Linked DNA regions of Elephas maximus indicus. The protein of the gene in region 2 interacts with the protein of the main gene of each other region in a pairwise test. Links are inferred from orthologs where the notes say so. Each region holds a gene or a part of one and is shown on either strand. Other genes may lie near its edges.

Region 1 (3,915 bases), on a different chromosome or scaffold from region 2:
ACAGGCCCTTTGGCTCCCTAGGGCCTCTCTGCCCCTCCAACACTCAGACACACACCCACATGAGCTGAGGATCATATTTGGGCTCTGTTATCTCCCTCCTACCTGGATGGGCCTCCCAGAGCTTTCTCAGCACGGGTTAAGCACAGGTGGGTTCCCTAGAGCAAGACTCCGCAAAGTTCCACTTGCCAGTGATCTCAATCTCTACTCTGCTTCAGGGCCTCAGCTAGGGCCACGTTTGTCCAGAGCTATAGAACTGATTTTACCTTAGGACCTACGGAGCCGTTAGCAAATGGCAAATTCCAGGGACCTACCTGCCAGCTTCTTCCCAGAACTACTAAACAGCACGCCGACCCACATTATGTGACAAAGGCGCATTCTTGGTTCTCCAGGGAAACCACCTGCCAGATCTCAAACCCTGACCCTGTCCTATACTAGGCAACACCTGCAACACCACAGAAGCTGAATTTCACTCTGCAGCCCCCTGGACTTCCTCCACATCAAGCTGATTCTCATTCCTAGGGAACATGTTACTGAAAGTAATCAGTTGAACTTGGGGCAGGAATCCACATTGGTGACTTCAACTGCCTCCCACAGCAAATAGTGAAGTCCAAGATGTACTTTGCCTACTGAGCAAGCTTTGCTGAGAACCAAAGCCTACCTAGCTTTCTAGAAAGTCCAGGCCAGGGTGGGGGTGGTGTTGGGGGGGAGGGGATAATACTCGAAAAACAGAAATCGGGTAATTTAAACATTTAGAGGCAAGGTCAAATCAGTTTAGCCTGACAGTCCCAGGGAAGGTGAGAGCTGGCAGGAGCCCTTTATGTTTACTCTCAAAGAGAAGCAAGTCCCAAACCAGTAAATCTGTTACTCCATCTAGATTCTGTTGGAGTCATCTATGTGCATAGCCAGAGCAGCTACAGACAGCATCTCACTGCCCTGGGCTCTGCTGGCCTCACAGGAACTCCTGAGCTGGCAGGCAGGCAGGAGGGCTATAGGGCTGGAGGCTGTTTATTGAACCTCAAACTCCCAGGGCACCAGCCATGCAGCTAGGCCACAGCCAGAAAGATGGAAGCGTTTCTGTTCTTTAGAGAGACAGAGCCAGAGAGAGTAAGGAGCTTTGCCTTGTGGCAGGCTTATGATATGTAAGAATCCTTCTCTGGATTAATTAATTACAGACAGAGTTTAGGTAAAGATTTCAGGGATACCTACCAATCACAATATGAGCAAGTATGGAGTCAGGGCAGAGCCAAAGCTAATAAAGGGAGCAAGGTAAGCAACGCCAGACAAATAGTGAGCCCTGACCAACACAAGGGTCTGGGGCCTAGGACAAAGCAGGACCAAACGTGGAGGGAGGTGGAGAGGGGGCAGGTGGTAACAGTCCCCCACCCAGGGACTCCAAGGTAAAGATGGCAGAGATCTCTGGCAGGATACAGCCTGAATCCTTTAGCCTAACATCAAACTGCTGGCTTCTGCTCTGGACTCATTTCCCACCACTCCTCAACACCTTGCCCCTCAAACCAAAGACATTTAAAAGGAATCCTGTGGCCACAGGAGCACTTTAAACCCCTTCTCCCCATCCAAGAAAAGGCAAAGGAACTCTTCAGGGAGAGCTCAAAGTACTGGAATTTTGCTAAGAACGAGCTTTCAAACCAGAAGCAGGCATGCTTGACTCTGCTGCTCCTGGAATCACGAGTAAACCACCTCCTCCTCAAGAGAGAGATATGTAATACATATACACATACATACTGCGCACATATATACATTATATATGTCTAAGCATTATGTATCTATATACCCCAACATATATATATATATATATATACACACGCACATACTATAGTAGAAACTGAGTACTGCCACCTCCCAGCCACTGAGAAAGATGTGGAAAATCCCTACTTACAAGACACCCATCGCTTCCTCAACTTGGGAATCTCTCCTGGCCATTATCGGACACAGGCCTCCGAATATTTCAAAGGACAGCAGGAAGTCTTTTCTAATAATATTTGGACTCACTTTAACTTAAATGACATTCATCACTTTTAGGTGGGTCTAGGGGATCCCTGGTGGCACAGTGGTTGAAAGCTAGGGGAGCTACAGCTGCTAATCAAAAGAGGGGTAATTCAAATCTAGCAGCTCCTTGGAAACCCTATGGGGGCAGTTCTACTCTGTCCTATAGGGTCACTGTGAGTCAGAATCAAATCCACGGCAACAGGTTTGGGTTTTTGTTTTTTTGGTTTAGGGGATAATGCCAACTTCTCATGGCTTTCTTTTTTATATTTTTACTAACTTTTAGAATACAGTTTGTACTAGGTCAGTCCCTAATCCTTTCTGGAAATAGGCTCATGATTTAAAAAGAAAAAAAACACACTGTAAGCCTGAGAAAATTGATAACCAGGTGTTATGGCGCCAATTCTGACTGACTCATGACCCAGCTACCTGTGTCAGAGTAGAACTGTGTTTCAAAGATTTTTCAATGGTTGATTTCACAGAAGTGGACTGCAAGATTTTTCTTTCGAGGCACCTCTGCGTGGACGTGAACATCCAACCTTTAGGTTAGCAGCCCAGAGTGTTAACCGTTTGCACCACCTAGGGACTTAAAGGAATTAATAGGGCCACTTTTTAAAGGCGATAAACTCCACTAAAAAATAACCACCGAGCAGCACAAAGCTGGAAAGGGAGGGCACAGATACACACACACACACACACACACACACACTAACACAAACACAGAGAGACACACAGAGACACACACACACACACGCACACGCCGCAAAGTCACTGCCGCCAGCAGAGCTCCACCCTCCCGCCAGCCCAGCAGCGAGATCCCAGCCTCGGAATCCCCTTAAGCGCCTCACCCGCGCCACGCTCGTCTCGAGGTAGCTCCCAAGTCTCGCGATATTTTAGCAGTCCCTCCTTGTACTTTTGGCTGGCGCGCAGCATCACGAGAGCACCTAGCGTGGTCGCGCTGCCTTCTGGGAGTTGTAGTCCACTTGTTTCCATTTGTTTCCTGGGAGTTGTAGTCCACATGAAGGAATCCTGAGGTGAAACTTGTCTCCCTGTGTTTTGGCATTTCTGATGCTCCCACCAGAGCCTGGCCTAATTGTCTGGCCTTCCCAACCACCTGAACCCCTCCCACACATACACACTGCTCATCACTGGGTCATTTAACACTGAATATTTACCAAGCCTCTTCCGTGCTCTAGGTGCACGGGACACATATAAATCAGGCGTGTCCCAGCTATCCAAACAAAGATACAGAAAATTACAGTTAAGGCCCTGAGTGGGGAAGGCAGGGAACTTGTAGACGCAACAACTCAGGGTAAAAGCCCTCTCAAAGGAGGAGTCACTTGAGGTGAATCTTGAAGGATGGCCAGTACATAGAAAGGGGGCCAGGGCAGCATTCCAAGTGGAGGGCACAACGCTGGCAAAGGGAACACACAGGAGAAAGCATGTTGGGAACACTTCCCCCTGCTTTCTTCATTCTCCAGCATTCACAGGCTCCCAGGGTCCCTTGTGTTTACTGAGGCTGCTCAACCAGCCACCTGTCTCCCAGGGTAAGAGCTGAGGTGGGGCCGTGTGCTCTACCCCTGCCCTTGCCCACAGTGAACCATCTGAACCACGGTACCCCAACCCACTAATCCAGCCTATTCCTTCTACTTCCTCCTCAGGGCTCTTGGGGAACACAGAACTTCCTCCAAACCAGCAGGAGGGGCTTTGTGGCAATTTCGAGGCCTACTCAAAGCCCCCCTGGAGAAAGAACCACACAAGGGAGTATGGATTTTGGCCCCAGGGAATGACAGGCCAGAGACTCATCCGACCCACCATACATCCATGTCCCACACCCAATAGTGAGGCTCCACACAGCTACTATGCAGACTCAGGTGAAAACACATGACACAGCAAGACACACAGGGTCAA
Region 2 (3,915 bases):
GTGACATTTTTGAAGTGTACAAGCTGTTTATTTTGTAGAATGTCCCTTAGTTTAGGTTTGTCTGATATTTCCTCATAATTAGACTTAGATTATGCATTTTTTGACAAGAATACCACAGAAGTGATGTTATTTCCTTCTCAGTACATGGAATCAGGAGAGACATGAGGTCAGTTGGCCTCATCATCAGTGATGTTGACTGCGGTTACTTGGTTTAGTGGTATCCTTCAGGCTTCACCACTGGAAAGTTACCGTTTTGTGGGAAGAGACTTTAAGGTTCTGTAAAATTCTATTCCACATTAAACTTGAACCCATTAGCTTTGTTGTTGTGGGTGGTGGAGTAGATTCTGACTCTTAGTGACCCTGTAGACCTGCCCTATAGGGTTTCCTAGGCTATAATAAAAAAAAAAAAAAAAATTTTTTTAAATCTTTATAGGAGCAGATTGCCAGGTCTTTCTTCCCTGGAACAGCTGGTGGGTTCCAACTGCAGACCTTTTGATTAGCAGCTGAGCGTTTAACCATCACACCACCAGGGCTCTTTCTCATTAGCATTAGTACCCATTTATGGTTCTTGCCCGAGTCAGTCATTACAATGATGGTTGTAAAGTGATCATTGTTCTGTATCTATCATTCCTTCTCTGTGTATTTGTTGGCATTCTGCTGTGAGGAAGAGCTTCTCCATATCTGTTTGTTTGTTATCAGTGTGGACTCAGTGGATTCTTATTTTATATGGTAGATTAAATTTATTACTATCATTATATGTTTTGATCCTCACAGTGTCCCAGATTTGGCCAGTGGGTGAGGCACCCCGCCTTTTTGTGGCACCCCGGGCTGCCCTATCAGCCCCTTTGCTCTGTACTGTGTTGCCTGTTGCTTATCCTCTACTAGACCAGAAACTTTGAGAGAGTAATACATGGCACATAGGAGACCCTCAGTAATGTTGTTTTAACTAAAGTGAAATCTAACTGTAAAAGTTTCCTAGGACTCTACCTTTAGTACCACTAAAAATAATTATAATAATTCCATACTTATTATTATTTCCCTAATTATGAATGTAATGCATGGTTGATGCAGAACACCTGGAAACAGAGAAAGTACACAGGAAAAAACAGCAAAACAAAAAGCATTCTTTGTGTCACCTCTGGGCGATAATAATAATCCATTACTTTTTTATGGTGGTAAGTATATCTATATAACAAAACATTTGCCATTTCCACATTTTTAACTTGTGCAGTTCAATGACATTAATTATGTTCATCATGTTGACCAACCGTCACCAGTATCCACTTCCAGATTTTTCCATCACCTTTAACAGAAACTCAGTGTTCCCTAAGCAATGAGTCCATCTTTCCCCCTACCCCCAGCCCCTAGTAACCACTCATAAACTTTGGTCTATGTACATTTGCCTATTCTAAATATTTCATATAAGTGGGATCGTTCAATATTTGTCCTTCTGTGACTGACTTGATTACATTTTGATAGATATTCTTCCAATCTCGTTCCTTATGGTATTTTGTTTTGTTAAAAAAAAAAGTTATTGTAATGTGTCCACCCTTTTATAGCCCTTTTCCAGTTAGGTTACCATTTAAGAATGTTTTATCAGTAATTCCCAAACTTTGCTGTGTATTGGAATTTCCTGATTATCTTTAAAAAATACTAATGCCTGCTTCCCACTCCAAGGGTCATTCTCATTCTGGTGTGAGGTATGACCTGGGCATCAGGATCGTTTAAAGCTCCCAGGATGATTCTAGTGTGTAGCAAAGTTTGGTTCCCAGTTCGATGCTCTTCCTACCACTCCAGAAGGTTGGATTCCAAACCTCCCTGGGCTGGTGCAGTTAGGATGGAAAGCATAGCCCAGAACATTCCTTCTAAAGGGTGCATTCTCCCTGCCCCTCTCTCATGCCTTCAGGCCTCAGCTCAGTTAGGCCTACTCAAACTAGAGGGCCCCAGTGCCTGCTCCCTCTGCCACTATTCATAGCACTTACCACATTTTTTTTTAAGCTGAAAATTTTCTGGTATCAATCTTTATTATATAACCACAAATTATAGGTAGGGTTTTTTTTTTTTTTTTTTTGCACTTATCACATTTTATCTTTATTTGCTTGTTCACATTTTTGTGTGTGTGTAGGGGGGGTCCTGTCTTTTCCACTGAATTCCATATAACTTCCATTAGGGAAGAACAGTGTCTGTTATGGATTGAAGACCCATGTTCCAGACTCTCTGAGTCTTTTCTGATTGTTTTCCCAATTTTTACCACTTTCCCGGCCCCCTCTTTATCAAGGGCTCATTCATTCATTCGTTTATTCATTTATTCAACAAGTATTTATTTAGAACCTACCATGTCCCAGGTACTGTGCTCGGTCCTGGGGAGCAAAGCAACTGCTTACAGTCTGGTGGGAGAGACAATGAATAATCACACAGCATATAATTACAAACTATAGTAATGCTATGAAAGACAGGATAGGGGGACCCCACCTAATAGGGAGGAGCGGAGGCCAGAGACAGCTTCCCTGGAGTGAGGACACTGAGCTGAGCCTAGAAGGATGATTCAGAATTAACTATGCAAATAGGAGTGAGTCTGGTGTGTGTGTGTGTGTGGCGGTAGTAGAAAGAGCAGTCCAGGCATATGGAATAATCTGTGCAAAGGCCCTGAGGCAAGAAGGAGCATAGAACATTGGAGGAAACACAGTGAAAGCTAAAGGGGTGGTTAGGGGTTGGACCAGGTGTGGCACTGAAGATCACCTTAAAGATTTTGGTCTTTAAGAGCAACGCGAAGACCACTGATCCTTATGAGGAGTATATATTGGAGAGGGCAAAAGTGAAGGATGGCGACCACCCTGCTCTTTTCCCTTATTTACCAGACTGTACCCCTATTGCTCCCCTCCATCTGGGGTTCTTCCATTTCCACCCTCTGCTCCTAGAGACCCTTTAGCCTATTCTTCCTTTCCCCCCATCTTTGGGTCTCACCTTGGTGGTCCAGTCAGAGCTTCTACTCTTCTTCTCAGCGTGCCCCATTGCTCTGCCAGCCTCCCCTGTCCCTAGCCCCTCTGGCCTCTCTGCCTCCACATGGTGCACCAGCCTCTGTCCAGCCCCCTGGTTAGGTGGCCAGTTGTGGAGGATGCAAAGCCCACCCAGTTGTGGGTCTGTGAACTCTGACTCCTGGGTTCTTATCTTATCTGGCTCCTTCCTTCCTCATGGGAAAAGCAAATTTGGGGTTATGGGGCAGCAAGAGGACCAGGAGCACCTGCAGCCTGGACATAGATTCCACAGGTTCACACGAAAGTGGAGCTCACTAAAGGAAGCACACATAGCAGAGGTGGCATCCCACTTTATTGTAGGGACTTAGTTCACTGAGGGAGGCATGAGTTGTTGGGGGAAGGGTGTGAATGGTGAAAGGGAAGGAAAGTAAGCTCTGACGGTGGGAGGAGGGGGATAATAAGGAGTGCTGGGGAAAGGGGAGGCATTAAGGGCAAGAGGAGACTGAGGGAGGAAAGGGCTCTAATGGGGGGGGCAAGGAAGGGAAGGTGAAGGAACTGAAGGAGTTGAACACTCATGACTGAGGACTGGGAGGGGCAGCCTTTTTAGGAGTGGAGACAGGAGATAAAGTCAAAGCCCTAGGCTGGGGAACTGGACAGCACCCTGGGCTTCCTGGAGGAGCCCGCTGCTCAGTGTAGGCCTCTTCACTTTTGGGCACCCAGTGCCAGGGCGGTGATGAAGCCCACAACCAGCAGGAACATGGCGACTGAGAGCAGCACTGTGATGACCACCATGCCCCCTGTTCGGGCCATTCCCAACCCAGTGGACTCCATCTTCCTTCCTGTCAGAGAAAAAAGACAGGGGAAGCCTTAGTGGGCAGGGGTCCTGTCCTGCCCAAGACCCTCAGCCTAGCTCCCACATCCATCCAACCATCCATCCATC

Evidence for each region.
Region 1: the proteins of FOXR1 (region 2) and PPCDC interact in binary tests that used the Homo sapiens proteins (3 or more experiments, as listed by UniProt). The two-hybrid records come from large-scale screens. The link is inferred for Elephas maximus indicus from reciprocal best matches to the Homo sapiens genes FOXR1 and PPCDC.

Annotation. Positions count from the first base shown.
Region 1 is NC_064831.1:65,073,462-65,077,376, reverse strand, and holds the start of PPCDC (phosphopantothenoylcysteine decarboxylase), read right to left. Parts: upstream 2,885-3,915; 5' UTR 2,853-2,884; intron 1-2,852. UniProt on the Homo sapiens protein: Catalyzes the decarboxylation of the cysteine moiety of 4-phosphopantothenoylcysteine to form 4'-phosphopantotheine and this reaction forms part of the biosynthesis of coenzyme A.
Region 2 is NC_064835.1:11,420,847-11,424,761, reverse strand, and holds the start of FOXR1 (forkhead box protein R1), read right to left. Parts: upstream 3,013-3,915; coding exon 2,965-3,012; intron 2,388-2,964; exon of another isoform or gene 2,336-2,387; intron 1-2,335. Other genes in the region: UPK2 (uroplakin-2), read right to left, coding at 3,678-3,814. UniProt on the Homo sapiens protein: Transcription factor which acts as both an activator and a repressor.